Linked DNA regions of Sus scrofa. The protein of the gene in region 3 interacts with the protein of the main gene of each other region in a pairwise test. Links are inferred from orthologs where the notes say so. Each region holds a gene or a part of one and is shown on either strand. Other genes may lie near its edges.

Evidence for each region.
Region 1: the proteins of melanoma-associated antigen B4-like (region 3) and RUNDC3A interact in binary tests that used the Homo sapiens proteins (3 or more experiments, as listed by UniProt). The two-hybrid records come from large-scale screens. The link is inferred for Sus scrofa from reciprocal best matches to the Homo sapiens genes MAGEB4 and RUNDC3A.
Region 2: the proteins of melanoma-associated antigen B4-like (region 3) and FERD3L interact in binary tests that used the Homo sapiens proteins (3 or more experiments, as listed by UniProt). The two-hybrid records come from large-scale screens. The link is inferred for Sus scrofa from reciprocal best matches to the Homo sapiens genes MAGEB4 and FERD3L.

Annotation. Positions count from the first base shown.
Region 1 is NC_010454.4:18,923,899-18,935,095, forward strand, and holds the start of RUNDC3A (RUN domain-containing protein 3A), read right to left. Parts: upstream 5,828-11,197; 5' UTR 5,616-5,827; coding exon of another isoform or gene 5,509-5,615; intron 1,875-5,508; coding exon of another isoform or gene 1,759-1,874; 5' UTR 1,639-1,758; coding exon 1,228-1,638; intron 1,075-1,227; coding exon 989-1,074; intron 11-988; coding exon 1-10. UniProt on the Homo sapiens protein: May act as an effector of RAP2A in neuronal cells.
Region 2 is NC_010451.4:88,317,207-88,328,152, forward strand, and holds the start of FERD3L (fer3-like protein), read right to left. Parts: upstream 6,016-10,946; 5' UTR 5,172-6,015; coding exon 4,677-5,171; 3' UTR 1-4,676. UniProt on the Homo sapiens protein: Transcription factor that binds to the E-box and functions as inhibitor of transcription. DNA binding requires dimerization with an E protein. Inhibits transcription activation by ASCL1/MASH1 by sequestering E proteins.
Region 3 is NC_010461.5:26,020,681-26,030,743, reverse strand, and holds the end of melanoma-associated antigen B4-like, read right to left. Parts: intron 9,328-10,063; 5' UTR 9,250-9,327; intron 5,144-9,249; 5' UTR 4,917-5,143; intron 4,219-4,916; 5' UTR 4,116-4,218; coding exon 4,015-4,115; intron 2,154-4,014; coding exon 1,058-2,153; 3' UTR 541-1,057; downstream 1-540.

The DNA.
Region 1 (11,197 bases), on a different chromosome or scaffold from region 3:
ATAGAAACGTCTGTAGGGAGGGGGGAAGGGGCCGATGGTGGAGCACCTCCCACGAAGCCTCAAGGCTTCTCTTGGCTCATTACAGACTCTCCTAGAGGAAGGAGGTATCTCTTTCCTGTTCACTCAGCTGAGGATTTGTCTCCCCCTCAGACTGGGACCCGCTGGGGACAGTGCCTGGGTCTCCCACCTACTAGAACAAGCGTCCCCCGAGAATAGAGCTCCACCCTCTGAACTACCCCTTCCCCATCAAGCACTGGGTCACCCAGATCCTTAAAATCAGGAAACAAGTTCTAAAACGTGCTTGCATACAGTCAGTGCTCAAAAACATGCTGATGTGAACTCTGAAATGCGAGGGCAGGCTAGACCTACAATGCAGTAAAAACAGCAGTTTGAGTGTGGCCACCTGGGGGAGGGGGCGGTGGGTAGGTCCGTGCCTGTGCTGTACTCAGACGGCTTCAAACGCACCTTCCCCACGGACACATCTTCCCTGTGACCCTGCCCCCCCAGACCCGCGCTCTCTGCAAACCCTCAGCGCAAGGATTGAAGCTCTGGACACCGGGACTCTGTAGTCCATGGGTCGCAAGCACAGACTGCTGTTATCGTTTGGGAAGCAGATAGGGCTGTGTGTTAGAGGTCGTGGAACACGGCCAGCAAGAGAAACGATACATGGCTGAGGCTTGTCCCCGGCTGTGTCTAAGGGTAGAGCTGCGTCTGAGACCCGTGCTAGGCAGTCATGGAAGATAATGAATTTGACTTGGAAGAGAGGGTGGTGGTGCTAAAGTCGTGTTCTGGGACGGGAGACCCATCGGACTGGTAGACAGTCTGAGAGAGGGAAACTAGCAGTGCATGCTGGGAGTTGTAGTCCAGGTGCTAAAGGGTGCAGCAGGAACTTAAGGATCACATGCGTTTAGGCAATGCATGTGCCCACTGGGACTTGTGGTCCACACTGCCAGAGGTGGCGGCGGGGGGCCGGGGGGGGTGATCTGACCTGGTGGTCCGGGTGTCCCGCAGGGCTGTGGTGATGTATTCCGACATGCGCTTCTCCATCAGTGCCACTCGGATCCATGCCCGGCCCTGGAAAGAAGGCTTACCATCTTACTTGCTGCCCCAAAAGGACCCGTGCACCACTTGGCACCGTGGGCAGGGGCGAGGACCAAGGAGCAGGCTGCCCCCTGTACCCAGAGCAGGAAGCAGCTGCCCTGGCTCCGCCCTCTACCGACGGCTCACCTTGGCTCGGGCTGTGCTGATGTTCTCCATGTTCTCGATGCTGCTCACGCAGTTGTTGGGCACTTTGCTGCAGGCCAGCCGGATGTAGTCCCAGAAGCCCCGCTGCCCATCTGAGCTGAACCAGCTCACCGGACCTGCTGGGGCACAGGCTGAGCCAGGGCAGGGAAGGGGCTCAGCAAGACCAGGGAGTTTGGAGAGGGTCCATGTACTGGGGCACACACATGCGTAAGCACAAGCAGCCATGCACACCCGTAGCACCTCCCCCAAACATACGTGCACACACATGCATGTACACACAGGGCACACCAGCCCATAATTGCATGCCCACTGATGGGGCTTGTGGGCACCCACCGTTTTGTGCCCAGAGGACCCCTCCCCTCTTCCCAGCTCTGTGGACGAGCTTCTGTGCATGGTCCAGAATTGGAGCCAGGGTCAAGGATGGGGTTCAGAAAGCCACAGAGTAGGGTGGCTGGAAGCTAAAGGTTGGGAGTTGGGAGGGCTGGGCAGTGGGAGACAGGAACCTGGGCCCACCTTTGAAACGGTGGCTGAGGATCTGCTCTAAGATGGCTGCAAAATTCACAAACTCCTCGGATGAGTCGTCGATGGGCTCTGCCGTGTACTTCTCCAGCAGGGTTTTCACAGAGAACCTGGGCGAGGGGGAAGGAGAAGGGGCAGTGGGGTGTCAGGTGGGAAGACAGGGTGGCTGCGGGTAGAAGAAAGGCATCAGGCAAAGAGAGGGAAGCAAGGGCAGAGAAGAGGTCCCAGGATGGATGTGGTGGGGAGGTAGCGGAAGAGACGGCGGGAGGCAGGCGACAATAGAGTGACCGTGGAGGTGCTGTGACATGGGAGAATAGGGTGGCAGGTGGGAGACTGACACAGTGGGTGACAGGAGAGGTGACAGGCAGAGAAAGGGGGCTTGGGGAACAAGGTATGAGGGGGTGACACGAAAGATGAAGCCCCTTCCTCCTTGCTGCCCCGCCTCCCCTCCCGTAGTGACTCCCCTAGTGTCAGAGAAGGGTGGGAGTCGGGAGCTGCTTTGTGCCTCTGCCCTGAGCTGTCTTCTGCTACTGCTGGAATGACCTCCAGTCCCTTCCAGGGTGGGGCTGGGGGTCACCTGTGCCAGGGCATGTGAGTTGGCGCTGAGCACATGGAGCGTGTGCATGCCTGGGCGGCCAGGTGGGCTTCTAGCACACGGATGCCCCCCCTTCCCCCTTTTCCTTCCTAGCTCGGCCACCCACACACCAGCTGCCCAGAACCAAGCGATGCGGAGCTAGGCAGAGGGACATGCAGGGTGTGGGTCTGACACACACAGTGGGTGGGAGGGGGCACTGGCAGCAGATCTCTGGAAGGGGCTTGGGGGCCCGAACACCTGGCTTCTCAGCGAGGAAGGAAGCCAAGGGACGCCCATGGGGCTGAGGGACTGGAGCCCAGCAGCCCCCATCCCTCTTTCCAGTCCTGCTTGGAGCTCCGGCCTCCTCTGCAGTCCCCACGCCTGCAGTCACCACCTGCCATTGCTGCAGCGGGGTGGGGCAGGGGTGAGGACGAGGCTCCCAACGCCCCGTTATTGTCCCACTGTGGGTGGCACAGCAGGGGCGAGGTATCCAGGGATGCAGGGGCTGCTTGGAACTGTCCCTTTTTTTTCTAAGCTCATCAAGCCCTGCAATGTGCCAAGCACTCTGCCTGGGTATCTCATCCATCCCCACGGCAGACCTGGGAGGAAGGTCTCCTCATTATCACCCACATCCCCATGTTACAGGCCCGGTAGCTGAGGGTCCAAGAGCTTGAGTGATCTGTTCAAAGTCATGCAGCCTGTGGAGAGTCAACAGGTAGGGCTGATTCCAAAGCCCTCGCTCTTTCTGCTACATCTGTGGCCTCCTGGTGGCTGCTCAGTAGAGGCCCCTGAGCAGCCCCTCCCTCTTCCAACCTCTGTCCTCTACTCAGCAGGCTCCAGCCCTTGAGCACTGGCCTCTGGGGCTCTTGGACTAAGCCCAAGGACCTCCCTCCCTTCCCTTTGGGCTTGGAGTTAGTCTGGCCTGAGATCAGAGCCAGGTCAGTGCTGGGTTGCACTAGGGAGAGGCAGCCTGGGTGAACAAATCCTGTGTCCTTGTGATACCGATGTGGCCTTGGACAAGTCATTTAATCTCTCCAAGGCCCATTTTCCCAAATGCAGACAAGAATAATAGTATTTGTCTTATCAAAATTTGGTTCAGATCCCAAGACATATCTGGAAGGTGAGTGTACAGGTCATTGGCCAGGGGTGGTGAGGAGCCGGGCCTTTAACGGGATGGCCAGAGGAAGCCTGAGTTTAAGGCATTATCTGGGCTTCATTGTGCAGCCCCTCCCCCGTGATTTCTTCTGGTCTTTTGGGTCAGACCTCAGTGGGGGCCTGCAGCCGGTTTCAGCATGGCAGCCATCTGCCATCTGCCCTCAGGGGTGCTGCAGAACTGGTCATCGCCCCCGGGAGCCCTGTGGTGTGTTCCCTGTTAGGAGGTGCAGTGGCTGCTGCAGGTTGCCATGGAGACAGGGCAGCCAGGGCCCAGGGGAGTCCTTGGCCTGCTAAAGGGAACTGTTCTGGGAGCTGGAGGCAAACCACATGACAAGGATGAGGCAGCAGGGGCCTGAGAGGTTTCTGAGCCTTTGTCATGCTTCCGATCCCCCCCGGCAAAACTCCATCCCTCACACCCCAGCTCTGAGCCCACTTCCAATCCACCAGAGCCTCTGCTTCTCCAGCCTAGGCCAAGGGGAGTTCCCTGCTTCCCCACACCCTCAAGAGGCCCAGGTGTCCTGGCAGGCAAGAGAAAGGAGAGGAACCTAGGTGTTGAAGAGAGAGGAGAGGGCCAGGAAGGATGTCCTCGGCATGAGGCTACGGGGCTAGGCTCCTCTGGGCTTTCTGTCATTACCATTCCTTGGTGGGGCTGTTACAATGTTACAATGGGGATGAAGCGCCCAAGGCCCAGAGTGGTTAGGAGACTTCCCCAAGTTTGCACAGCTAATAACTGTTAAAGTAAGAGCTTGAACCTAGGGCCATCTTTATTTACACCAGCCGACAGGGTTTGAGGGTGAGCATAGAGGCAGAGGTTTGCATTTGGGCTGGGCCATTGCTGCACTCATTCCTGCTACAATATTCTGGGTGTTTTTGCAGGGGTCCGATGTGCACAGCACTGTGCTAGGCCCTAGGGATATGATGGTGTGAGACAGACGCAGTGTGGCTGCGTGTGTGCCCAGAACCCTGGAAGGAGCTGTAGAAGATGGGAGCCTGGGCGTCAGGTGGGCACTGAGTCCTAGGGGAAAGAGCAGGGCCAAGGCCTGTGTGCAGGCAGGTGGGGCTGGCCAGGGAAGACAGCTGAGCTCTGCACTGGGAGCACCCTGCCCTTGGAGGTGGCATAGGGGAGAGGGGAGGTTGCAGATGGAGAAGGCAGCTGGCATGGGGACCCAAGGGGAGAGATGAGGGCAGGTGAGGGCCGAGGGACAGGGGCTGAGCTACTGGCCATTCCTGGCTTCAGGGCAGGGCCGGGAGGGTGAACCACTGCAGGCCTGGGAAGTGGGAAGGTTCATTTCCTGAGCCTCAAGAAAGCGGGCAAGGCTTCTGAACACTGCGACAGCCCCACCCTCAGGGACCAGTGGCTCTGCCCTCCCAACCTCCTCCCGGCCAACCCAAGAGACCCAGGCTTCTGTGGTCAGGCCCTCAGTCCTTCCCAAAGCAGAGCTAGTGCCCCACACTCTTCACTGCACTGATTCGGGGACATTGCCTACATGCCCAGTTAACCCTGCCCTAGGCTGCAGCTGCCCAGACATGGAGGAAGGTACATCCCTGCTCCAAGATTTAAGCATCAGCATCTCCACGGAAAGCCCCACCCCAAAGAGGCCAGGCTGACGGGGAGAGTGAGGGTATGCTCGGAGGGATACCCCCTGTCCCCTCGGTTCTCCTCAGCCCACCCAGCTCCCGCCCCCAGCAAGGGAGCCAGCCATCCTCACCCCTCCCCCTCGCACACAATGTCACTTCCTGGTTCTACAGGAAGCTGCAGTGCTAATTAAACACCCCTAACCCCCCGGGCTGCAGGCTGAGCAGAGGCCTGGCTAGGCCTAGAGGGGTAGGCATCAGACCTCCCCAGGCCTGGCCCTGAGGACAGTGGATGCGCTTCTCTTAACCTTGCGCTGCCTCCCTTTCCTCCGCGGCTGCTGTGCAGCCATCCTCCCGCGGGCACTCTCAGGCCGGGTTTCGGCAGCCCACCCCCACGCCTCTCCCGGACCACCCCACCCCCGCCCGGCGGCGGCGCCCACCTGCACACGGTGATCAGGTTCCTACGCTCCACGGCCACATTCCGGGAAGATGCTTTCTTGGAGGACAACCCCAGAGCCATGGTGGTCTGGACAAAGCTCGCTTCCATCCAGATGTGTGGCCACTGCTGCCGCCGTCAGCTGCCCACCCGGCGCCGCGGCCCCCCCCAACAGATCACGGCTGGGCCCTCTGCCCGCCGGGGCCCCTCGACCCCTCCAAGGCCATCCTCTTGCCGCTGCGCCTGTTGCCCGGCCCCCTGGCTCCCTCCCCAGGCGGCGATTCCGGAGCAAAACAAGGCCGGGGAGGGAGCTCTCCGAGGTGCTGAGCCGGGGCGCGTCACCCCCCCCTCCCCTAGCCTCCCGCCCCCCCTCGGCAGGTGACGTCAGGGCCCTCGGGCCCCGCCCCCCGGCAGGCCGGGGACCAATCCGCAGAGGGTGCAGGATTTGGGGGCGGGGAGGGAGAGGAGAGCACTGGGCCTCAGGGAGGACTGAAGGGGGTCCCCGGAAGACGCAGCGTTTGGAAGGAAGAAAAGGGGCATCTGGCTTGTCCTCCACCCCCGTGATCAGAGCCCGGTACCCCACGCTTCGCATCTCTGAGCTCCGACCCCTCTACCCCCTTGTTTCTTATCTGCGATCAGTGGGGTCTAGCTCAGATTTCGCCCCCTGATTTCTCCTCACCTCCTGTACTCTCGTCTCAGCCTCGGCCCCCACCCGTTCAGTGTCGGCATTCCCAGCGAGGCCAGAACCAATCCTAGAGACCAAGGAGCAGTGAGAGCCTGCGTGACTGTCTGCGCCCGGGGGGGAGGGGGTGGACTTGTCTGCAGCAGCCGGCTTCTAGGGTGGGGGATGGGAATCCAGCCTATGCGGTAGGAGCCCAGCGCCTGGGACTCCTCTGGACAGTGAATGGAGCAGATTGGCAGCTAAGGGCCTGGGCTCTGTGGAGGTTCCCAGCCGCAGAGCTGGTGCCCAAAGTAGTAGGAAGGCAACTGCTCCTTCTCAGGGTCCTACGTCCTCACACCCCCAGGTGGCTTGAGGGTTAAACCCCTTGGCTACCAGAATTGCTGCAGGGTGCCATCAACTCTCTTTGCAAGGCCAGAAAAGCTGGTTGCATGTTTTGGGGAAAGATGGGGAAATGGAGGCACCGGCCGGCTTCCCTGCCACCTTTCGCTCTTTCACATCTCCACTCGCATCTGCTCCATTCCTCTATTCAGCCTGTTCTCTTTCACCCACTCAAATGTCCACCTCCCATAGAACGCCTTTCCATGTTGATAACAAGGGCTTCACTCAGTTTCTCCATCTGGCCTCAGAAACATCCATTCCCAGGCTCAGCTCATATCCATTCACCAACTCTGCCCATGCACTGGATTTACTCTGCTGGCTGGTGGATGGTCAGTATCTCTGCGTTGATTCAGATGTGCAGCTACATCTGACTACGACCAGCAGGCAAGGACCCTTTTCTAGCGCAGAGAAGGAGGTGAAAGACCTGCCAAGGTCCCCAACCTTGGTCTGTCTCCCTGGGGGCTGGATCTCCTGCTCAATTCTTGGCTTCTGGGACCTCAGAGTTAGTCTTCTCTGTCCCTCCTCTCTGCCTTTTCCCTCTTGCCTCATCTCTAGAAGCCCCTCTTAACATCCTCCTGCCTCCAGACCCATCCCCAGGGGCAATCACAATGTTTGTTCTTTTGTTTTTCATTGCAGGATATATCAGATGCCCAAAAGAGCACCTAAAACACATGTGTGCAGCTTAAAGAATGTTTCCAAAGCACAAGCCTGGGATGTAATCTCAATGATCAAGAAATAGGACATTGAGGGCGTTCCCATCGCGGTGCAGCGGTTAACGAATCCCACTAGGAACCATGAGGTTGCGGGTTCGGTCCCTGCCCTTGCTCAGTGGGTTAAGGGTCCGGCGTTGCCATGAGCTGCGGTGTGGGTTGCAGACATGGCTCAGGTCCTGTGTTGCTGTGGCTGTGGTGTAGGCCGGTGGCTACAGCTTCAATTCGACCCCTAGCCTGGGAACCTCCATGTGCCACGGGAGTGGCCCTAGGAAAGGCAAAAAGACAAAAAAAGAAAAAAAAGAAATAGGACATTGCAAACACCCCAGAACCTCCACTATGCTCCTCGCAGATCTCATCTTCATCCATCCCCATAGGAGGTAACCACTACCCAGACGTTTGTGATAATCATTTCCTTGCTTTTCTTTGTAACTTCATCATCTATGTGTCCATCGATAAAAAATATGGTTTAATGTTACCAGTGTTTAAACTTTGTAGAAATGGAGTCATCTTGGAGTTCCTATTGTAATTCAGTGGCAAGGAACCTGACTAGTATGCATGAGGATGCGGGTTCAACCCCTGGCTTTGCTCAGTGGGTTAAGGATCCTCGTTGCCATGAGCTACGGTGTAGGTCACAGACGGGGCTCGTATCTGGCATTGGCTGGCAGCCGCAGCTCCCATTCAACCTCTAGTCTGGGAACTTCTGTGTGCTGCGGGTGCGGCCCTTAAAAAAAAAAGACCAAAAAAAAAAAAAATGCAGTCATTCTGTACGAATTCATTGGTGATTTGCTTTCAGTATTAGGTTAGAGCGGTTCATTTTCCCCAGTACACTATTCCACTGTGTGACTATACCACAATTTATCTATTCTAACCATAAGGGTTACTTTGTGCACCAGATAGGGCCTAGTCAGAAAAATGAAAACCACATTACCTATTTTGGGTAGAGGGGATTTGATTACACAGGAGTTGGAAGAGCAAGGAGAGAAAGAGGACACTGGGGCAACGAGACAACTCGTGGAGCTTGTAACTAAAGAAAGCAGTAAGGGGAGTTCCCACTGTAGCAGAGTGGGTTAAGAACCTGACTGCAGTCGCTTGGGTCCCTGCAGAGGTTCAGATTTGACCCCTGGCCCAGGAAATTTCAAATGCCACTGGGTGCGGCCATTAGAAAAGAAAAGAGGAGTTCCTGTCATGGTGCAGTGGTTAACGAATCCAACTAGGAACCATGAGGTTCAGGTTCAATCCCTGGCCTTGCTCAGTGGGTTAACGATCAGGCGTTGCCGTGAGCTGTGGTATAGGTTGCAGACGCGGCTTGGATCCTGCATTGCTGTTGCTGTGGCTGTGGCATAGGCCAAGAAATGGCAAAAAAAAGAAAGAAAGAAGAGAAAAGAAAGACATCAGGAAGAGGGCTGAGGACACAAAAGAGAAGTGGGGGCCCAGACGCCCCCAGCGGGCTGCCCCTGGTGTCATCTACAAACAAAGAAAAGCCAGCTATGAAGCTGGTTCTCTGAAGGCAGAAAGAAGCTAAAGGCTAGAGCCAACTTCCAATGACAGAGCGACCCTGAACAAAGCCAAAAAAAAAAAAAAAAAAGTGCCTTCTCCCTTCCTCCTGCCCTCCATCTCCCTCTAGAGTCTCCTATTCACAGACCTCAACAGAAAGCCAGTAAAAGAGTCTGGGAAATAGGAGTTCCCCTTGTGGCTCAGGGTAACTAACCCGACTAGGATCCATGAGGAGGCAAGTTCGATCCCTGGCCTTACTCAGTGGGTTAAGGATCCGGTGTTACCATGAGCTGTGGTGTAGGTTGCAGACTTGGGTCAGATCCCTCGTGGCTGTGGCTGTGGTTTGCGGCATAGGCCTCAGCTGCAGCTCCAATTGGACTGCTAGCATGGGAACATCGTGGTGTGACCCTAAAAAGACGAAAGAAAAAGAAAAAAAGAAGAAAAAAAAGCTAAGGCAGAGGAAGAAAGGGGACATGAATTTATATACATATGTATTATTTATACATACACACAGAGTATATAGTATAAAACAAGCAAGCAAAAAAAAAAAAAAAAACCCATAGCTTCTACAATTCTTATTTCTGTAACTGGTCAGAAGCAGATATATTATTTATTTATTTATTTTTAGGGCTGCTCCCACAGCATATGGAAGTTCCTAGACTATGGGTCGAATCAGAGCTGTAGCTGCCAGTCTCCACCACAGCCACAGCAATGTGGGATCTGAGCTGTGTCTGCAACCTACACCACAGCTCACGTCAAAACTGGATCCTTAACCCACAGAGCAAGGCCAGGGATCGAACCTGCATTCTCATGGATACAAGTCAGGTTCGTTACGGCTGAGCCACAATGGAGTCTCCAGAAGCTGATATGTACAATTTCCTCTTCCATCACTTATTTCATTGTCGTCTTGCCCTTAGGCAGCACCTCCGTTTTCTGCTGTTTTTAAACCATGTCAGGTGAGGGAGTTCCTGTTGTGGCTCAGCGGTGACAGAGCAAGTGATATCCATGAAGATTCGGGTTTGATCTCTGGCCTCACTCAGTGGGTTAAGAACCCAGCAGAATTGGGTGAACTGTGGTGTAGGTCTCAGACGAGCCTCGGATCCCACATGGCTGTGGCTGTGGCACAGGCTGCAGCTGCAGCTCTGATTTGATCCCTAGCTGATTGGCGAATGCCCCAGTTTTCTCAGCCGTCTGTTGGGATGGCCCCGAGGCTTACGCTACGACTGGCTCCCTGAGTCCCCAGCAGGATTAAGCTCCAGTTGTCCACAGTCTGAATTTGCCTGATAGCACATCCCTCACTGACCATCTTCCCTTCTCTGTGTCACTTCCCACCCACGTGCAGGTAGTTCCCAACATCGATTCCTCAAATAAATGCTTGCCTTCAAATCTTCAACTGTGGTTTTATTGCTGGGGGGAACCCTCCCTTAAAAAAAAAACAGTTGGGGAGTTCCCATTGTGGCTCAGCAGATTAAGAACTCAACACAGTGTCCGGGAGGCTGTGGGTTCGATCCTTAGCCTCATGCAGTGGGTTAAGGATCCAGTGTAGGTTACAGATGTGGCTTGGATCTGGCATGACTGTGGCATAGACCAGCAGCGCAGCTCTGATTCAGCCCCTAGCCCAGGAACTTCCATATGCCACAGGGCCCTAAAAAGAAACAAAGAAATTGATATCTGAAGTGGTCCTAAGACGCAGATCCCCTGAATGGGATTCTAAAATCGAATCACTCACCATAAATTAGCAACAAGGGTAAGTGGGGTGCTGATACCCACGCACAAGCATGATTCACCCTGGGGAATACAGGGGTGCTTTGCCTGTGTGCATCTCTAGTATTTGAGATATGAGAGGGAACTGGGAATTAAAAGGATTGTGGAATTGGTCAGATGTTAAATGCCATCAAATTGCTAAAAGACAAAAAAAAAATGACAGACTCGCATTGGCTAACTCTCAACTCAGGATCAAGTGTAAAAACCAGAAGTCCAGGAGTTCCCATGTGGCTCAGTGGTTAATGAACCTGACTAGTAACCATAAGGTTGCGGGTTTCATCCCTGGCCCCACTCAGTGAGTTAAAGATCCGACGTTGCCGTGAGCTGTGGTCTAGGTCGCAGACGTGGCTCAGATCCTGTGTTGCTGTGGCTGTGGCGTAGGCTGGCAGCTGTAGTTCTGATTCGACCCCTAGCCTAGGAACCTCCATATGCCGTGGGTGTGGCCCTAAAAAGACAAAAGACAAACAAACAAATAAACAGAAGTCCAAGAGTTTCCATGGTGGCTCAGCAGTAACAAACCCGAGTAGTATCCATGAGGACGTGGGTTCTATCCCTGGCCTCTCGCAGTGGGTTAAGGATTCAGCCTTGCCATGAGCTGTGGTGTAGGCCAGCAGCTGCAGCTCCAATTCAGCCTGTAGTCCCAGAACTCCCACATGCTGCAG
Region 2 (10,946 bases), on a different chromosome or scaffold from region 3:
AATGCAGTAACCATTTTATTATCATAATTGTTACATTTTATTAGGATAATTTCCAGCATATTTGCCAAACTCTTGACTTCACTGAATATTAAAAGTTCTTTTGTCTTCTGCAAAATTGAGTGGAATTCTACCCAATATTAGCCATAAAGAGTATTTTAAAATACATTCTTTGCATTCCCTTATACTTCTTTATCAAATGTGTTTTAGGCACATAAATAAAATTTGCTATCATAGAAAAAGTTGTGGAAATTTATAGGCTTTGGTTTATAGAGAAATAAAGAAAATTTTCCATCTTTCTGGCATTTTATTCCTGTCAGTTTGCATTGCTTCTTTCCTTTCCCTCTCCTCCTTCGCCAGGTTTGGTTTTGAGCTTTGGATTCAAAGAAACCCCAAAGTCAAAACAAAATGGTCAGAACTGCTGACTCTTGTTTTGTAGCCTTTTTTAGTTCAGCATTCACAGGAAGAGAGGGCACTGACCAGAAACTGGGTCTAACTTCATCCAAGATGTTGGCAAAGTTCAGAAACCTTTGAGTGAACTTGTGCCAAGACATAGGTATATACCAAAATGTCAACACTTTTCTAACACATTTAAACTATAATTTAATCAAGTAATATCACCCAATAAAAGGATTTAGTACTTAAAGTTCAATATTAATCTGCCAGCTATTTTTGACAAAAATAAATCTAAACAAAAATAATCTAATTTATATTTTGTATTAAATAGATGTTACATTTAATACAAAATATAGTGTTTAAAAGTTGTAGGTACATCCTCTGTAGCTCAGGGGTTACAGCACTGTTCTTGTACATTTGGGAACCTCACATGTGAAGTGGGCCTAAGTGTTTTCATTAACTTTGAAATTTTCTTTGAGGATTTGTAATTCAAAAAAAAGTTATGCTAAACTGTGCTTATCAAGTTTCATCTCAGAATTTCTGTAGCTGTTATAAACCTTCCACAATAGTGTTTTTATAATGGAAATGCTGACAAATGCAATAATAAACACCAATTCTATGGTCTTAATTGTAAGTTCATGCAGGAAATATGCATACTAGCACAATATTTGGTTCAGTTTCCAGTGCCAAAATCTGCTTTCACATTGGACAGCTGTAAAAGATGATCAGTCTGAATGGCTGCCTGTTGATGGCAAAGGCTTTTGATTATTTTTACTTTCCTTGGAAAGCCTGATTATGTCTTTCAAATATGATTTCACTTAGATCTTTTTTTTTTTTTTTGGTTTATATGTCTGAATACTAATAGTAACCTGATAGTTATGGGGAACTTAGTTTGAGACCAAAAGGCAGTTTTCAGTCAGTAAAGAGTATATAAATAAATCGCCTCCAAGCAACATCTAAAATGGTATTTACATTCCAAATGTCCAAATAACTTTAAGATTTCAAAAACCAATTATTACAATTTTCCAGGAGTAATTGATACCGCTAGGATTTTTTTTTTAATTACTGGGAGGTACTGGAAAACCAGTGTCTACTGATATTTTTATCAATGCTGGTTTAGAAGATAAAGAATAAGACAATTCTAACATAGGGTGTGTTATATACTAAAAATACTTACATTAAAAAGTGCACTGATTTATGGATCTAACATGGGGAAAACTAAAACTATCATGCTGCTTAGAGAAGTTGAATGCAAGATATGGAGGAGTATGGATTCATGTTCGAAATGCAGATGATTTTGCGTTATCTCTACGGATGATTTGGTATAAGGAATAAGTCAATCCACTTCTCTATATTTCTGAAACTTATTTGGCTTCAAATTATTCTATTAGTACAATAATTAAGAAAAAGCCTTAAGAGACTTTTCATTTTGGAGTAGCTTCTAAACATACTAAAAATCACAAAGAACAAAGCATTTATGAGCTCTCATAATTTTAAGAATTGTGGACATAATTCTAATAATAATGGGAAATCTTTTTATTTAGATGTTTTGGGGGTATTATTTACTATACTGAAGAAATATTCACTGTACGATATTGTAAGCTTACTATGAATATAACAATGGTTCAGAATATGAAGATTAAGGATGATGGACAGTTGTGTTTACTCTTCAGGACTCATTGATTTTGAGACCCTTTTTCTACGCATTTTTTTAAAATTTCTTATTTTCCAAATGGATTCTTTCAAGAAACTATTAAGGATTCCTAAAGTTAAATCTTTTAAGAAAAAATCACTTGAAGAGTCTTTAAAAAATGTTTACTTCTCATGAGGACTTAGAGTAGGAGAAGGAAGGGAGCTTCTTCTGCAAGCTCTTTCAATTCTGCACCCTTTCACATTATATGTAAAATGTCAACACATTTTAATTGAATAAATAAATAACTGGATAAAATAAGGGACCAATGTATCCACTAGCACTACATGAGATATTGGGGAGCAAAATGTTGTTCGATGACAAGTTGAGAAATAATTATTTTTCTTTGACATACTGAAAAGAGTAATTTTAAATTTGTTTCTTAAAATACAGGTAAGTGGTCTGAGCAGCCAAAAAGTTGTCTAGCAAAAGAAGAGAAAATAAGTAATTTTATAAAATGGATATAGAGGTTATTGTCCATTTTTCACTTTTAGTAAAGATGCTAGAGAATTAAAAACAAAACAAAACAAAAAAAACCCCAAAACACTCCCTGGTTTTGTTGTTGTTTGGTTTAGTTGGTTACATTTTTTTTCTCTTACTTGTATATCTTGTTCTTATGACAGAGGTGAAACAATCCTGGTGAAAAGATACAGTCAAGTAAGACATCATCTTTGAGAGAGTAATCATTTCAGAACTATCAGTTCCTATAGATAGAAAAACTAGGAAAAGTTTTACATGAAGGAATCTTAGAGACAAGTAGATCCTGCAATAATAGTAAGAGGGAGTGTGAACTGGCAGATCTACTTGGAAGGCAATCCGGCCATTTGTAGCCACAAACTTAAATGTTCATTTGACGCAGAAATTTCACTTCCGGCTACCTAATATCAGGAAATTATAGGCAGAGAAGACATTTATAAGAATGTTCCTCGCATTATTACTTTTTTTTTTTTAAAGAAAATATCTTAGCTATCTGTAAAGGACTGGAGTTAGATGTAATATATGGATGTGACAATAAAACACAGTAATCAAAATTATGTTCGCATGATATTTAACATCAAGGGGAAAGTTCTCATTCTATAGTGCTGAGTGGATAAATTCCAAAACTATCCCAAATGTGTTAAACACATTGAATTTATATCTGTATAAAAAAAGACTAGAAGGAAATAGATAAAACTGATGTGTAGTAATATGAAGTGATTTAAATTTTATTTCTTTTTAAAATTTTATTTTCCAAACTTTTAAGGATTAGTATATATTACTTCTTAATAAAATGAATCATATTTCTAAAAGTATGATAGGCGAATCGCCGAGTGCAAGGATGTGCGAAGTGAGGAGCAAAATAAAGTGTTGAGACAACAGGGTTTATTTTTAGGATTACTGACTTTAAAGTTAGGTGGGCACTATTCATTTCAGTTTCCCTCCTCACTTACCAACTCCTACCTGAAGGACCCCAGTCTAGGTGTTAGCAGGTTCCCCCAAAGGAAGAATTGTGGAATGGCAGATCCGCCAAACTGGAGGCAGATCCTCAGCATGGTTCTATTTCAAACCTCATCTCCATCATACACATTTTGGCAAAGCGGTGGAATGCATCTCCTCTTCTGACTTTTTTCTTCCCTGTCCCTAGATGCAACTAGAATAAAAGCTATCTTTCTCTACGCACCCCTAAAATTTTTCGTGCGCGCTCAGGTGGCGCAGCTCCTGGGACGACCCGGTCCTTTTCCCTGGGTAGGAAACAGGGGAAGCATCCTCAGGCAGCAAAGGTTCAGAGCATCTAAGATACCCCGCGAGTCTAGGTGCGCTCCCAGTGCGTGAGAAAGGGCTGTCCCCTCCTCCTCCCCGTCACCTCAGGTTCGGGCGTCGGGCTACTGGAGGGACAGGGACTGGGTTGAAGTTTTGAGCCTGAGGGGGAGGGTAAGGGAGAAGGTGGAGAGGAAGAGAAGGCAGAATGGTGTTCTGTGTTAGAGATATTTCATCGCTTTGACTCCTTTTCCTTTTTCAGTCCCTTCTTTCTGCCTCCTGACAACCCTAAGAGGATCGGACGATAGACTTGGCACCCCTTGGCCTCTCAGAGAACCCCATAACCCGCAATTTCTCGCGAGTTTCTGCTCCAGGACTTATCTAAAAAGCATAGTCCGGAGCGGCGTGCCTGCCTGACTTGGCTCAGCACCGACTCTGAGGCAAAAAAAAAAGTTTCTTTTACACACACACACACACACACACACACACTCGGAGAGATCAGACTCACAGAGACCGCTGAACTGCAGAGAGGATTAACTTCCCACCCACTTGATATAGACTGCTCCTGGGCGCGGGCTGAGGACCGCCCCAACTCCTTAACTACCTTAATATGCCCCGCCCGCTCCCGCCCCAGACTCCATTCAGAGCAATCGCGTCTGCATTAACTCCACGGCCTCCAAGCTTCTCAAGGGCTGTGGGGATTTTATCATCGCAAAACAAGCTCCAGAAGGCCAGACTTTTGTTAGGTCTTGGAGCTTTCTCCCTGGCCTTTCAGCCACACCCACTGCCGGTCGCGAAACACCCCATGCCCGCGCGCCCAGTGAAGAGGGGGCAGACACTTCCATTCCACACTAGCTCAGCCGGTTTCCTTTTTCTCAAAGCTCTCTAAGAGCTCAGTCATGAAGGAAATGTAGACGATGGCCAGGCGAAGGGTCTCGATTCGGGACAGCCTTTTCTCGTAAGCAAACGTGGGTACCTTCCTCCGCAGCTGGTCGAAGGCCTCGTTGAGGTTGAACATTCGCTTCCTCTCGCGGATGTTGGCGGCTTGGCGCTGGGCGTAGGTGATCACCCTTTTCCTCTTAGGGCGACCCAGCAGGGAGGCGCCTCTCCCGGCCTCCTCTACCTCCTCGTCTTCGCCCTCTTCTACTTCCCCCTCCTCTTCTGGATCCTCCTCCTCAAAACGCGGTAAACTTCTGGCTCTTCCCTCTTGGAGCACAAGGTCTTGGTGGTCCGCATAGGGGACCCCCGGTGCGAAGTCGCAGAGGAGAGGGTGCCCCGGAGAGGCTAGGGACAGGTCTGCGACGAAGTCCAGCACGGTGGCGTCCACGCAGCTCTGGGGATAGGCTGCCATCTGGTCGGCTTGGCTTGGCCCTGCGTCTCATCGGTTTCTCCAAGGTAAAGGCAAGACTGATGAAGGGCTTCCTAAGAGCCTAAAATCTGAAGCAGCAGCATCAGAGAAGGGCCAAGGGACATTAATATTTATAACCAAGCTGATAACAGGATTAGTTGCACAGATAGGGTAGGCTCTGACAACATCCCTCCTCTCCTCTGGAAACTGATGGAAGAAGACAAGCTTGAGCACGCACAGAAGACTCAAAGGGACAGGCCTCCAATTCTGAGATCCCTTTCACTGCATCACCTGAGACAGTTCCTTCTTGGCAACAACCCCAGCTCTTACCTGCTGTGCTTTTTGTGTCTCTCCACATCCCCCCAGCCAACTAATATTCTTCAGGCTCCTTATCTCATGTAGTTCTTTAATTTATCTTTGGGTTTTCAAAGCAAGGATGTTTTCCACCGCTCTGGCTTCTCCTTGGCTTCAGAGTGTGAGCTCTGAATCTTGCCACCCTAGGCTGCCGCTGGGTGTGAAACAAGTGCATGTGCTTTTAATGATGTCCTGAAGAGGGGCCCTGTCTGCCAGGGGTCAAGGGGAGCTGTTTGTCTGGTATCCCGGTGCAGCAGCTACTGAAAGGAAAGATCTTCCATTAGCTTAAGTAAGCACTGTAGGGGAGAGGAGAGTGCATTCCCCAGAGTCGCTGTTGGAACCGGCTTTCTCTTTCCACTGCATCATAAACAGCTCTCCCGCTGCATTACAAACCCCAACTTCTAAAATCTGTTTTGTTGTAATCAATCTAACAATTAAGATACTTGGCTTTCCTTTCCTTACCTTTAACTCCTACCTATGTAAAGGAATTTATTTAGAGGGCAAAGTTATGATGGCAGTAAAATGAAAAGGAGAAGCTCAGAACATTTTCTCCCAGCATGATTCACTGTATAATCCCAGTGTGGGAGGCAAAGCAAACCCTCCCCTAAACAAAACAACTTCAATCTCCTTTTCAAAACTGTGATTCACCCTTTCAGAAGCCAATTGGTCCACCAGCTCATTCCTCTGTTGAGAAGCCTTTCAAATTTTAAATTGCTGATTGATATTTGTGAACAAAGAAAACTCCTGACACTTGCATCTGGTTTGTTTCCTCATTGTACCACCTTATAAGATTTGAGAGGAAAATATTCTTTATTAATTCTAGTTAAGAGAGATTTTGGCTATCTTTAGATCACCTTTGATATGAAAAAATATTTTAAATTTAGGATAGCAAAAATAAAATTTCTTTTGCTGATTTCACATAACTTCATATATATATATATTTTTTTTTAACAAAGAAGGGTTCATTTTTCCTTCTTTGTTTGCCAGTACTTATATTTATTTAATTATTGAGTGTAAGGATTTTCAAGAAGACACCATGTGGCAAAACAATATATTAGAAAAATCATTTTAAATATGTATTAGAAGAAACAGCCTAAAAAGATGAGTATAGAAACATCTTGGTTCAAGGGAAAATCGCCTAGGACATCAATTTCTATTAAAGAGGTAAGTTGTGACTATGATGGTTCAGTTAGTACATTGGACAGCTCCCAGAGAAACCGCCTATTTCTAACAGGTAAGCACACTTCCTTTTTCTTTCTTTCTTTTTTTTTTCTTAGCATCCCAGCAATCACTTTCAGATACTAGAAAAGCAACATCATCTTGGAGTCTTCTTTTTCCTTTCTTCTTCTTTTTTTAACCCATTTGTGTCTGGGCTCTCCCTTGCTCTTTTGTCCTTTAATTTTTTTTTTTTTCTCTTGTGTTTACTCTTCACTCTCCACAATTTGCATTGTGGTAACTCATGCAGAAAAGAATCAAAATTAGTGGTCCTGCAAGATGTTAATGAGAATAAGATCTTTGATTATGATTACCTATTTACTTTTTACTTAATTTCTTTTCAAAGAGAAGACTGAAAAATAAAAAAGAATTGAAATTTCGACAGTGGCTTAGGAATAAGTAAATGAGAGGATTAATTTCTGTTTTGACAAGCAGCAACATGTTTTCTAACTCTTGTTTAACTTAATCTGTTATTAAGTATTTGGACAAATTTTATAGTTTTTAGTTGCTGAATGTTTCTCATGACTTATTTTTTCCCATTTAAGTGCATATATACTGGAATAAATACCTCACCAAGTATGAATCCAGTTCTACACCAAATATACATTAGGACATTTAATGAAGGGAAACATGATAGAAATTTAAATTTACTATATGGTCGAAAACAATCCGTCTCACTGGAAGGAACCATTATTTTCATTTCTATATTTGAAAGTTAAGAGAGAAACATCCTTAGAAAATCCAACTGAAGATTAAAAGAAGTTAAGTTCAAACTTGATTCCTTTGGGTTCTAGGCCCATAGATAGTTTATAATTATTCACTGACCTACTTAGAGGCTTTTTAAAAGAGTTTTGTTAAGCCCTCAACAAATTTTGCTCAAGATGTTTTAGGAAATGATTCTGAAATGACAATCAGTTTTGCTTAGTTTATTACCTATTTTATCACTATTGGACATCCCGATTAAACATTAAACATTTTTTGTACACAGATGGTCCTTGATTTACCATGGTTCGACTTAAATTATTTTTTGATTACTATGGTTCAAAAGCAATAAACATTCAGTATGAACTATACTTCAAATTCTGAATTTTGATCTTTTCCCTGGCTAGCAACATGCAGTGTGATATGGCTCTTGTGTTGCTGGGCAGTATCTACTAAAACACAGCTCCCAGGCAGAAATGTGATACCCATATAGGTAAAACCTTTCCGTACCCATACAACTATTCTGTTTTTCACTTTCAGAGCAGATATTTAACACTTTATTGTAAAATAAGCTCTGTGTTAGATAACTGAGCTCAAACATAGGCTAATGTAAATGTTCTGAGAATGTTTAAGGTAGGCTAGGCTAAGCTATGATGGTTAGGTGTATTGAACACATTTTGACTTTTTATATTTTCAATTTATGATATGTTAATCTGGATTCAATCCCACTCTAAGTTGAGGAAGATCTGTACTATTTTCTTGTATTCAGAATAAAAGCAAAAAAAAAAAAACCAAAAAACAAAAACAAACAAACAAACAAACAAAAAACCAAGTGACCAAGAATAACTTGAGCAATTATTCTTAAGGGGGCTGGAGCATGGGATTAAGAGTGTTAAGGAAAGGTAGATAAAGTATCCAAAGATTAAAGCAAACATCTAACTCTCCCAAATTTATTAAGACTCTTCCTTTTACCTCCTTGCTTCATGTCCCTTTTGTTACTCTTACAGAAATATTAAGCAATTTTAGGGAAAATGATAAAACAGAACAGAGGTAGATGTTTGTCATGATTGCAGAGAGATACTCCCTTAGCTGACACAGAGAAGGAGCCTACATTCTCTTCTTTCTCCATTTCAAGTTATTCACGGTTTATGCAAACAAAAACGACAAGAAAGGAGGCATTACAATACTCATACCAGACAAAATAGACTTCAAAACAAAGGCCATAAAGACAGATAAAGAAGGATACTATATAAAAATAAAAGGATCAATACAAGAAGATTTTTACACTCATCAACATATATGCAGTGAATATAGGAGCACCCAAATACATAAAACAAATATGAATGGACCTAAAGGGAGAAATTGACAGGAATACAGACAGTAACAGTAGGAGATTTTAACACCACACTCACATCAATGGACAAATCTTCTAGAAAGAATATCAATAAGGCAACAGAGATCCTAAATAATCTCTGAATAGCTAGACAATAGATATTTTCAGGACATTACATCCAAATGATAGAACACATCCTAAATGATGGAACAGCTAGAATTAATTGATATTTTTTAGGACATTATATCCAAAAAAATAAAAAACAGAATACACATTCTTTTCAAGTGCACATGGAACATTTTCAAGGACTGACTATACGTTAAAACACAAAACAAGCCTCAACAAATGTTTGAATATAAAAATTATCTTAAGCATCTTTTCTGACCACAATGGCATCAAACTAGAATTCAACCACAGAAAAAGAAAGGAGAAAAAAATGACTACATGGAGACTAAACAACATGCTACTAAAAAACCAATGGGTCAGAGTTCCTTTGTGGCCTAGTGGGTTAAGGATCTGGTGTTGTCATTGAAGCAGCTCAGATAACTGCTGTGGCAAGGGTTCAATTTCTGAGCCAGGAACTTCTATGTGCCAAAGGTGTGGCCAACAAATGAACAATGGGTCAATAATGAAGTCAAAGAGGAAATTAAAAAATATGTTGAGACAGATGTCAATGAAAACACAACTATATAAAGCCTATGAGATGTGGTGAAAGCAGTTCTCTGAGGGAATAATGATACAGGCCTTCCTCAAAAAACAAGGAAAATCTTAAATAAACAATATAGCCTACTACTTAAGAATTAGAAAAAGAAGAAACAAAACCTAAAATTATCAGAAGGAAGGGAATAATAAAGATCACAGAGGAAATAAATAAAATAAAGATTAAAGAAACAATAGAAAAAATCAACAAAGTTGAGGGCTGGTTCTTCAAAGGGGTACGTAAGATTGACAAACCTCTGGCCAGGCTCACCAAGAAGAAAATAGAGCCCAAATAAACAAACAAAGAAATGAAGAAGGAGACATAACAACTGACACTGCAGAAATACAAAAACCATAAGGAAACACTATGAACAGTTACATGCCAATAAATTCAACAACCCAAAATAAATGGACAAGTTTCTAGAAATATATAGCCTACTAAAATTTAATCAAGAAGAAACAGATAACTTGAACAGACTGATCACTGGAAGTGATATAGAATTTGTAATTAAAAAACCCTCTACAAACAAAAGTCCAGGCCCAGATGGCCTCATAGGCGAACTCTACCAAACATACAAAAAAGAACTTGTAGCCATCCTTCTCAAACTCTTCCAAAAAATTGAAAAGGAGGGAATGAATATTGCCAGTGACATTCTATGAAGCCCCCACTAGTCCAATACAAAAAACCAGACAAGGACACAACCAAAATATGAAATTATAGGCCAATATCTTTGATGAATATAGATGCAAAAATTCTCAACAAAATATTAGCAAACCAAATCCAGCAACACATAAAAAAGTTCATACACTATGACCGAGTGGGATTCACCCCAAGTTCACAAGGATAGTTCAGCATATGCAAAATCAGTCAGTGTGATACACCACATAAATAAAAGACAAATTTTCATGGTTTATAGCTATGGCTAATTTTAGAGTTAGAAGAATGTATATTGATCTATTTTATTTTTCTATTTTAATGGTAAACTATTTTTTTCCTGTGGCATGTGGAAATTACTGGACTAGGGATTGAACCTAAGCCACAGCAGTGATAATGCTGAGTCCTTAACTGGGCTTGGCCATCAGGGAATTTCTAGGTAAATTTCTTTTGAAGTTTAATACATATACTTAAAAATTCACCAGTCATATATGTGCCACTTAGTGAATTCTAATAAAATAAACATACCCATAAAACCAGTTCCCAAAATGAGAAATAAAGTGCACCACTAAAGTTAGAGATGATGTAAAAACAGGTAAATATTAAGTATACAGCTTGAGACTATTTTAGTCTCTCCCACAATCTTGTACCCATATCCAGTCACAGAACACTTTCCAAAATATCACTCTCCAAGGTATTATGCTTGACTTCCAAAATTAATTTAGCCAACTTTTGAGCAGTACATAAGAATAAACTATAACTTGTTTATTCTTCTGTATCTTCCACTCAGCATTTTGTTTTATTTATTAATTTTTTAAGA
Region 3 (10,063 bases):
TGTGAGCCTCAGGCTTTCTACTGTTAAGTGAGTTTGCTAAGCCCTGTCTTATAGGACTGGTGGAATATATGTAATGTATGCAAAGCATCTGTCACTCTGCCTTTCTTGTATTGAGATATTAGGGAACGGCAGTTATTGCTATGATTATCTCGACCTCAGATGTTACTATCCATCCAGGTGGAACTTTTTTTTTTATATATCTAAGAGATGTCAGAGATATGCAGCTTTCGAGCCCCAAAACCTTCCCCACCAGCCTGAATTCTGCTTAGCAATTACTTAGAAAATTAAGTTACATGTTCTCTCCACCCTCTCTTTACCCTTGCCTTTCATTTTTCTTCTTAAAGTAGAGAGTATCTCACCCTCTTCCACAATGACAGCTTCTCTAAGAAACTCTAATTGCATGGGCAGGGGTTGGGTTTTTGTTTTTTTGTTTTTGACTAAACATTCCCAGTACAAGCATGAAGACTTCTTAAGAGCAGATGCTCAGGTAATGTTTGTGTAAAATAAGAGTCATGAACAAGTCATTTGCTGTGATTTATATTTTCCAACATTCTGGAAAAACATAAGCAAATCTGGGTATATATCTTTTACATTTTTAAACAAAGACTAAACGGAGTAAAGAACACCAAGACCTGACCAACTTTTACTCTATCTATCTATCTATCTATCTATCTATCTATCTATCTATCTATCTATCTATCTATCTATCTTCTTATCCAAACTATTTTACTGCGGAGTTCTTTTACATTTCCAAGGATATTCCTTTCCCAAAGCAATGCTATCTTGTTCTGGATCACAAAAGTGATTTAAAGATTTCCAATTTGTATTTCAAAAAACAAAACTCTTACTCCTAAATCTGGCAATCAGCAATAAGTGTATGATCCATGTCATTCATATACTTATATTCTAAACCTAAATAAACTTTCTGTTGAAAGGAACACCAACTGAAAAATGCAAAAAAAAAAAAAAACCCAAAAGTCAACAAGTTATTTATGCATAAAAGGAACACTGGTTAACAGCCTTTTCCAACCACAAAGTGAAGAATTGGCCTCAGACTTCAATAGGGGCGAGAAGAGTGGTTGGATGTGGCTCTGGAGCGTGCACTGGCCATGGCACCAGTGCCAGCCCTGGCTGCAGCTCTGGCTTGGGCCCTCTCTTCCTCATCTCTCAAAGCCTCTTCATAATGGGGTGGGAAGGCACTGGGGACTGTATCATTGACCTTGGCCAAAAACTCCAGGACTTTCATTTTGCTGGTTTCAGCGCGGGCTTTGGGGCCCCATAAGAACTCATAGCAAGGAGGATCACTGTCAGGCACCTGGCGGTACTCCAGGTACTTTTCCTGCACCAAATCTTCAGTGATGAGCTTCCTGGGCTCCCCGAAGATGAAGTGCTTCCTTCCATCATAGACACCCAAAATATTCAGGAATTCCCAGATCTCCTCCTCAGAGGCACGGTTGCCATTCAAGAAGATCACACCCAGGAGGGGCATCAGAAGCCCATTCTTAGGAAAGCCCCAGCTACCACCTGGACTCTCATCGTTGGGGAGATCTAGGTTGCTGACAAAGATATAGGAATGACTGTTGGGTTTGACTTCCTTCAACTTTAGGCCAAAGACCAGCTCCATGCGCTCAGAGGCTCTCCTGAAAATCTCAGGGAAATGCTCCCTATACCTTTTGTTGATAATCTTCAGCATTTCTGCCTTTTTAATGGGATCCTTCATTTTATACTTAAAGAGCATGAACTGCACCAACATCCCCACCTTCCTGGTTAGAGGATCTTTGTGAGAGCTCTCACTGGAAGTTGAGGCCTGGGTGGAATTTTTACTTTCCTCAACTTGGCCCTTGGCACCTACTTCAGATCTTGAGCGTGTCACACCTGCAGCAGCACTGGTCGTGGCTGGGGCTTTCTGAGGCCCATGAGGAGTGCCAGCAACAGAGGAGCTTGAAGGAGCATCTCCAGGAGCAGGAGAGGAGGAGGAAGTGGTCTCTTCTTCCCCTGCTGTAGTGGCCTGAGCATTAAGACCTTGGGTCTCACCTCGGTTGCGGCGGCGTTTCTCACGAGCACGGAGCTTACTCTTCTGACCACGAGGCATGATGGCTGTGGTCAGTGACAGCAAACAGGAGTACAGGCCAATGGGCAGGTGATTTGAGAACCTGGAAGAGGAGAATGAGTTGATGTGAATCCCTTGAAATAGGGAGATTCCACCTTGGCTTTATCAAAGGCTACCTCTGCAGGTCCCTGAGTGCATGTCTCTAGGAACTCACAGGCTCCTGTTTTTCTGGTCAGCCCATCCCCATAGAGAAACCACAGAGGGCTTAGATTGAGATTTACTCTGCTCCTATCAGCCCTGCCTTGGATTTACTCAGGTGACAGCAGGGGCTGGCAGTAGTGCCCTCTGTATTCAGGTTCCTCTTAGTTCATATTCAGGATTATCAGATCAATTCTGGGCAGAGCCTGGAAATCTTCCCCTCAACTACTCTGAAGGTTATATTTCAAAGCTCCCTGAGATCCAGGAGAAGGACATGAAGGGTGCCTTAGTCTGCTTTCCTGCCAGAGAAAACCCAGTGCTGAGCACTCAAGAGATCCTTTCAGTCCTGAGTTCATTGGGATCACCCTTTGAAGTCCTCACCTTTGCTCATTATAAGGCTCAGCATCACTCTCCATTTGCTGACTGGTTGCTACACCTTCACACTATGGATTGCATCTCCCTTAGACTTGATATAAAGAAGTGAAGGGGATGCTCAACCTTACAGCCCTTCCCTGAGATTTCTTGGGCTGAAATCAAGGGGTTAGGGTGGATGCTTTCATGTCCTCTCTATTCAGGGACACATGGTCCCTTGAGTCCTCACTCAGGTACCACAATTGGGCTCCTGGTAGAGAAGCTCCACTTTTTCTTAAACTGATGCCTATGTGACAGTAAGACCTAGCCTCCCTGTTTCCCAACAGAGAAGTGAAGATAATCTTATCTTCCCAAACGTGGTCTCCCAAGAATGAAAGCTGTTACAGGAAGGCTGATGTCCTTGTGATCCCGCACAAGATCCCAACTCAAGGTCCAAATCTGACTCATGATGGGGTCTCGGATTTCCCCCTCTGCTGACCTGGGACAACTCTCATCAGATGAAGACCCTCACTTCTCTGTTAGCGCATAATGGGACCTGACAGGCACTTATGCCTGACATCTATCCTTGAGGTCTCCCAAGGACAGGAGAGAAGATTTTTTGTAGTTCAAATGGTGCACTGTGGGACATTCCCACAGTCCTCAAGGTTCTCACCAAGACACCCAGCATAACCTGAAATCCTCCCTCACTGATATGAGGTTGCTCCCTGTGACCTGTCCTCTCACCTCCCTGGGATGTCCTGAGAAGGACTGAGTGCAACCCACGTCAAAATGTCCAATTCACCCAAGCCTGAAAACAGGGCTGGTGCTTTATATGGCCCCATTTTTTCTGGGAGGGGCCTCCCAACCTCACTCAGTGTCACAACCCTGCATCCTGTTGGGGACTGGACCCCTGTGCTGAAGTGGGCTTAATCCAACAGACCAAGGCTCTCACCTCCCTGAGACCAACTCCAGAGGTAATGAGGGGGCACCAGAGCTGCCATCTCTGCCCGGGGCCTCCACTGGTGAGTTTGTGATTACCAGGTGTAGCCCACAATTCCCTTAGTCACTAGAGGGGAATTTAAGTCACTCTACATCTGTCTACCTTGCCTCGGCCCTCCTAGAGCTGAGGACAGAGGTGTGGCTCAGCGTGGCTCCCTTTGGGGGAAGAGGTCTTAACATTAGCACTCTGGGCCCTCATCTAGGACCCAGATCTCCTCCATCTGTAAGATCAGGGCAACTCCCATAGACCAAGGCCTTCTCTTGGCGGCATGGAAACATTCCAGGCCAAATTCTAATAGCTGTGCTGGGGCCTCCCTAAGGCAGATCGCAAAGGCAGGGTGTGGTTGAGTCACCTAGGTGGGGTGGGGGTGGGTGCGAGGAGAGACAATCCCTTCAGGGGACACTCAGGTCCTTACCTTGGCTCCTGACCAGTCCTGGAAAAACAACTTGGGCCGCACAAACGCAGCGTCCACAGGCGGATCGCCTTGCCTCCCGAGCGGAAGTGGGGGGAGCACATCCGGCCCTGCAGGGTCTCCCAGATCTGACGGCAGGGGTGGGGGCGGGGCTCTGCAGAACTCTGTCCTTTAGGTCAGCCATCATCCCGGTGCCATCTATCAGGGCTGGGGAATTCCTCCCTTTAAACACCGAGTCCTCCAGCTCCCAAACAAAGCCCTCGCCGCCCCAAGTTTTTAGTGGGGAAGCCAGGGGCGCTGCTCTGAGCACCTCCTCCTGATGGGAGGGCAAGACTATGAGTCTCCCTCTTTAGGACAGAGTCCTCTTGTTAGCACTGAGCTCCCCACCTTAACTCTGGTTATGGCCAAGACTACCCTCCACCCTACTGCACCTACCTCTGTCTGCCATGAAGAACTGAGGTCTGATCCTGCTAGATGGGGCCCTTCCCTCCCCAAGATTGCACAGGTGGAAGGAGGGGACAACTCAGCTGAGCTCTCCTGGTCCTCTGGGGCTAAGAACAGTGGAGAACTCCATTTGGCACCCTCTGCTTTGGGGGGGGGTCCCCTCATAACACTCAGGGTCCTTTCCTTGGCTCTTGCTAAGCCCTAGGTTTTTTCTTTGCAGATTTGTGGCTGTTCCACTAGTCCAGGGTTGTCACCTCCATGACACTCTTCAGGGAGATTGAGGGGGTGGCTTTATCTCAAATATCTGTCCTGGGCATATCAGGGTTGACAGCATTGGGGGCATTTGTGGAGCTCCTCTCAGAGGTGACTGGTTCCCTCAGGTCTTATTCAGATAACTGACCACTTGAGAGACTCTGCCCTCTGTTGACCTGAGGCTGCTCCCATCAAATCAAGGTACTCACCTTCTGGAGACCTCCAACTGGAAGGATGAGCCACATCCAGCCGGGACTGTTCTGAACGTCTAAGGGCTGATAGCCTTGGCCAGACTTTATGGAGGCCTGCTACTTGGGCTGGTCCTTCTGTCATTCCTTATTCAGGGTCCTCGTCTTCATCGCCATCAAAGACTGCGACTCCTTCTACTGACCTCCCTTTACTGTTTGTAGGCCAAGGTCTTAAGTCCCTGCGAAGCCTGAAGAATAAGTGCGGGGTGCTCAGCCTGACAGCTCTATCTGGGGCCTTCTAAGTCTAAATACCTGTTTATGTATGGTCCCCTACATTCTGGGGCGTTGGTCTCCCAAGTCTGATAACACTGAGGTCCTCTTGTCGGTTCCTGCCTCTCGAACTAAAGGATTCCTGGGAAATGTCTCACCCCTACAAACACCTGAGCAGTTTCCCCCCTACACACCTTGGTCCCTGTTTTAGGAGTGATGTGAGGTGGGGAAACTGAAGCCTAAGGCAGGAGTTCCAGACAGGTGGTGTGCTGTCAGGGGATAAAATATGCTGCTATTTTCCTTCTCTTCACCAGCCAGACTTAGAGTCTCATGTAAATTCTGTTCTGACAGATTTATATTTTACGGGGAAGGGGCTGTCCAGGATGATTTTGTGAGCCCCTGATCTTTTTAGGTTATCTGACACTGCATGGGTAGATGATCATATTGTCGCTGAGTATTAGCTTTCCTTTTTTTATTCATGCCTGGCATTTATTTTGGTATTCATATTGCTCTGGGAATGTATTCCAAGCCAATAGTGTAAGCATAGTTTTTTTTTTCTTTTACTGCCTGAGATGCATTTTTAAGAAGAGGAAAATTGAATATAAGAAACACAAAGTGGGCCTCAGGCTGGGAAAATTGGAACAATGTGGGCTCTTGACTAAAAGAGACCTGGAGTCTAGCTTCAAACCTGTCCCTTATGAGCCATATGAGCTTGGCCACATTATGGAACTCTGTGAGCATTAGGCTCTACATATGCAAGGTGGGTTTGGTAACCTCTGTCTTGTAGAGCTAGTGGAATGTGGTTAATACGTGTTAAGTGTCTGGCACAGTGACTGGGCTGTACTGAGACTTCAGCATGGCATTTATTACTCTGATTAATTTGGACCCGGATGATACCACCCTCCCTGCTGGGCGTGTTTATGTTTTTGTTTTTAGCTCCAGCATAAGTCAGAAAATATGTAGCATCCTAGAATAAGTAAAACCCCAATCAACCAAAATTCTGATTAGCAAGAAAAATTAAATATTTCTATAATGCCTGATAAATTGTTCAGTATGGTATAAGGTACACTTCCCCAGTTAGATGCACCACAAACCCCCTAAATTTGTGTCAAGGATCGACAGCTTCCCTCCTTATGAGCAGCCTTTTCATCTCAATCACCCTTGCTTTCAGTAATTTAATCATTACCCCAAACCTATAACCCATATAGAGTTTGTCAAATTCTACACGATAACTTAATTTGAATGCCCCTTTGATGGAGAGGCCTCTGACCCTCTCAGGCCAGTACAGAGGGTGCCCAGTGGCTTCTTATCATCTTGCTTCAAGGGAAAATCACTCTTATTTCTCAGAAAATTCCTGGAGACAATGTGAACAAAACATGTAATTGGCATATTATTCACCTGTGCTGGGACAAGAGAACAGGACATGTTTCATCCCTCCCACAGGGGATTTTTCTCTGCTTACAATCCCAAAATAACTGGTAAGAGCAGTCTCCTATTCCAGGTCTAGTCTTTCACCTGAAGGACCCACCATCTGAGAATCTGGGCCCTGCTCATGATGATCACAACCTCCTCCAGTCCACCACGCAGTTAACTTAAAATTAACCTCCCAATGAAGGACGTGTAGTTTTCTAAGGCCTAACACTGCCTTTCTTGCTGAAACTCTCTTCTGGAACCTCTTCTCTTTTGCCTGTCCTTTAGATCTGAGAGATAACAGCAATATCTTTTTATATGAAAGCTGCACCTAACAACTTAGAGTTTATGGGCAGTGGCTTGATCTTTTTTATTTATTTTTTTCTTTTTGTCCTCAGTACAAGTATGGAACCTTCCAAAGAGGAGATGTTTAATTAATATTGGGGGAATTAAAGAGCTGGTAAACAAGTAGTCTAAAGTATTACAATTAATTTATCTTATAGTCTTGAATAAGCCAAGTAAATCCAGGTACATATCTCTATGTTACAAAAATGAAGACTAAAAGGAGTAAGGCAAACCAAGAGATAACCACCTCTTACCTTTTTATTTTTTCTTTTTTCCATGATCCCAACTATTTTAATACAAGATTCTTTCACATTCCAGGAAAATACGTATTCTAATGCTATATTATCTTTCCTGTAGTTTGCAGGAAAAAATTCAGGGATTTGTGTTTTACTAAATATCAAAACTCTTTTTTTTTTTTTCCTGCTATTTTAGGGCCTCACTTGAGGCACATGGAAGTTCCCAGGCTATGGGTCGAATTGGAGCTACAGCTGCCAGCCACAGCCACAGCAACACCAGATCCGAGCTGCTTCTGCGACCTACACCACAGCTCATGGCAACACCGGATCCTCAACCCACTGAGCGAGGCCAGGGATCGAACCCACATCCTCATAGATCCTAGTTGGGTTCGTAAACTACTGAGCCATGAAGGGAACTCCTTAATGTGAAAACTCTTGTTCTTAAACCTGATGAACACCAAGAAATGTGGGACTCATGGAATTCAATAGCTTAGATTCTAAAGCTAAATAAATCTATTTAAAGGGACATTTGATAAATACCAATAAAGCTATGAGTTACCCATATTGAACAGGAAGACAAAAAGCCATACACTGTCCACCTTTATTCCTACTCTGACCCTCTACTATTCAGAACACTGACTTCCCACTTCAAAAACAAAGTGGAGGAGCACCCGTAGCCTTCACTACCCATAGAGGAAGCTGATGGCCATGGCCCTGAAACACACTCTGGCTGCAGCGCTGGCTTTGGCTCTCTCTCATCTCTCAAAGCCTCTTAATAATGGCACAGGAAGGCAGTGGGGATGGTATCTCGGACCTTGGCCCAAAACTCCAGGACCTTTGGTTTCAGCCTGGGCTCTTGGACCCCATGACAACTTACAGTGTGGAACATTGCTGTGGTGCACCTGCTGGTACTCCTGTTACTTTAACTGTACCGATCCCTGGTAATGAGCTTCATGGGATCCCCAAAGATGAAGTGCCTCTCCCCATTATATTCTGCTTTTTTCAGACTATCTCCTCAGTGATCCAGTTGCCCTTTATGAATATCAGGCTCAGAAATGTCACCAGGAGGTTGATCTTCTGCATGCCCTTTACATAACTCAGCTTCTCAGCTAAGGTTAGGTCTAATTTTCTGACAAGAGCATAGGAGTGGTCCAGTTCCTTCACATCAACCCCAAAGAGCAGCCCCACATGCTTGGAGGCTCACCTAAGGATCTCAGGAAGTGAAGGGTTCCTTATTTTTTAGACATTATTCACAATGTCTGATGGGCTCTTTCATTTGATAACTGAGCACCAGGAAACTCACTAGCAAAACCGCTTTCTAGTCTAGAGGGTGTTTGGGCAACTTCTTAGTGTCTGGCAAAGCTGTAGGGTTCTCTGACTTTGTTCCTCTGGAGTGACCACTGGAGTTCTCAACTGATATCCTTGATAAGGTGCCTGTGAACACTCCTGGCTTTGGGTCTTTGGGTCTCCCTGTGAGCCTGAAAGCACTGCTCTTGTGTGCAGCACCAATGCTTCTGATACTGCAGCATGGTCCCTCTTGTTGGTACCAGTAGGCGGGAGTGTGGGTAGGAGGCATAGCAATGGGGCACCACAGGCTAAGGAAGAGGAGGAAGATATAAGTGGTAAACTCAATTTTGTTTGCTATGACTTAGGCCATCTCTACCAGACTTTCCCTAAGGGCAGTGTTCTATGACCTGTCCTGTTTGTTCCATAATTACTTGAAAAAGGAACTGGGAAGTTATTTCACAGCACAGAAAGCCAACCCAGTTGGAGACTTCCTAGGGCTCACAGTAGGGCAGGCAGAACGGGCTCTACTGGGTGCCCCTGTTCTAGAGTGGGTGCCCCTCAGTCTCCACTCAGGGTCCTCACCATGACTCATAAAAGTTCCTGGGACACTAACTCTATTGACCTGAGACCATCTTCCTTCAAGTTGAGGCCTTCATCTCTCTGAGACCCCTATGAGGAAGTGAGGAGACATCTCATATGGTCACCTCTGTCTGGGTCTTACCAAGGTCTAGAGCAGAGCCTTGACTCTGGGGATATTCTCTCTTCTAAGGTGGGTTGTTCCCTCACTGCTCATGCTGCTTTCTTACCTTGCCTCCTGATGGAGTATGGAATTCCTCTCTGCCCAACTGCGATTATTCTCTTCAGACCTTACTTCCTTGTGATATCTGAGGAGACAAAAACACAGCACAAAGACATACAGGATTTGTTTTTTATAATATACAGGATGCTTGGCAAACCTACCTGAGGGGGAAGTGAAAAACCTCAGCTTGAAAATCTGCTTGGGCCTCCCAGGTCTCACAGGCCTCTGACATTCCTCTCTTGCGGAGTTATATTACTATTCTCAGTTTATATAGGAGGTACTTAGAGAAATCATGGCACTTGGTGAAAAGCAAGTTTGAGGGCCCACATGGGACTTCTGGGGAGGGAGTGACAGCAATGAGGGAGGTAACAGCAGACTGTGCCTTCATGTCTTGCTGATACATTGTTACTGGGAATCAAATATACCCCTCAGTCAGCTGTGGAGTGGTGTTTACATCAGTGTTTTCAAAAATAAGGCCTGTGAAATTGTATTAGGTGCTATTTAAAAAGGCAAAGCATTTAAATAAAGTTGAAGAAGTTTTAGTTACTAGTTTTACTTTCACTGCAAGCCTTCCCAAAGCCCTCAATATACTACTTTGCACTGAGAAACTCCAAGAGGGATGATACAGCATGGTGAGTTTTCTTAACATATTTGACCATGAAAAGTATGTCCTTCTGTCATTTTTTTTTCATACTGAATCTTAGGTCTTCAGAATAGAACATTTTGGAGGTGCTGTCTATGATGTGCTTGGCAGATCCTCAGCTCCTGTTTTTCTGAATGTTTTTCTGAAGTTCAGTGGCCCTTGGATGGGGCAAGAATAT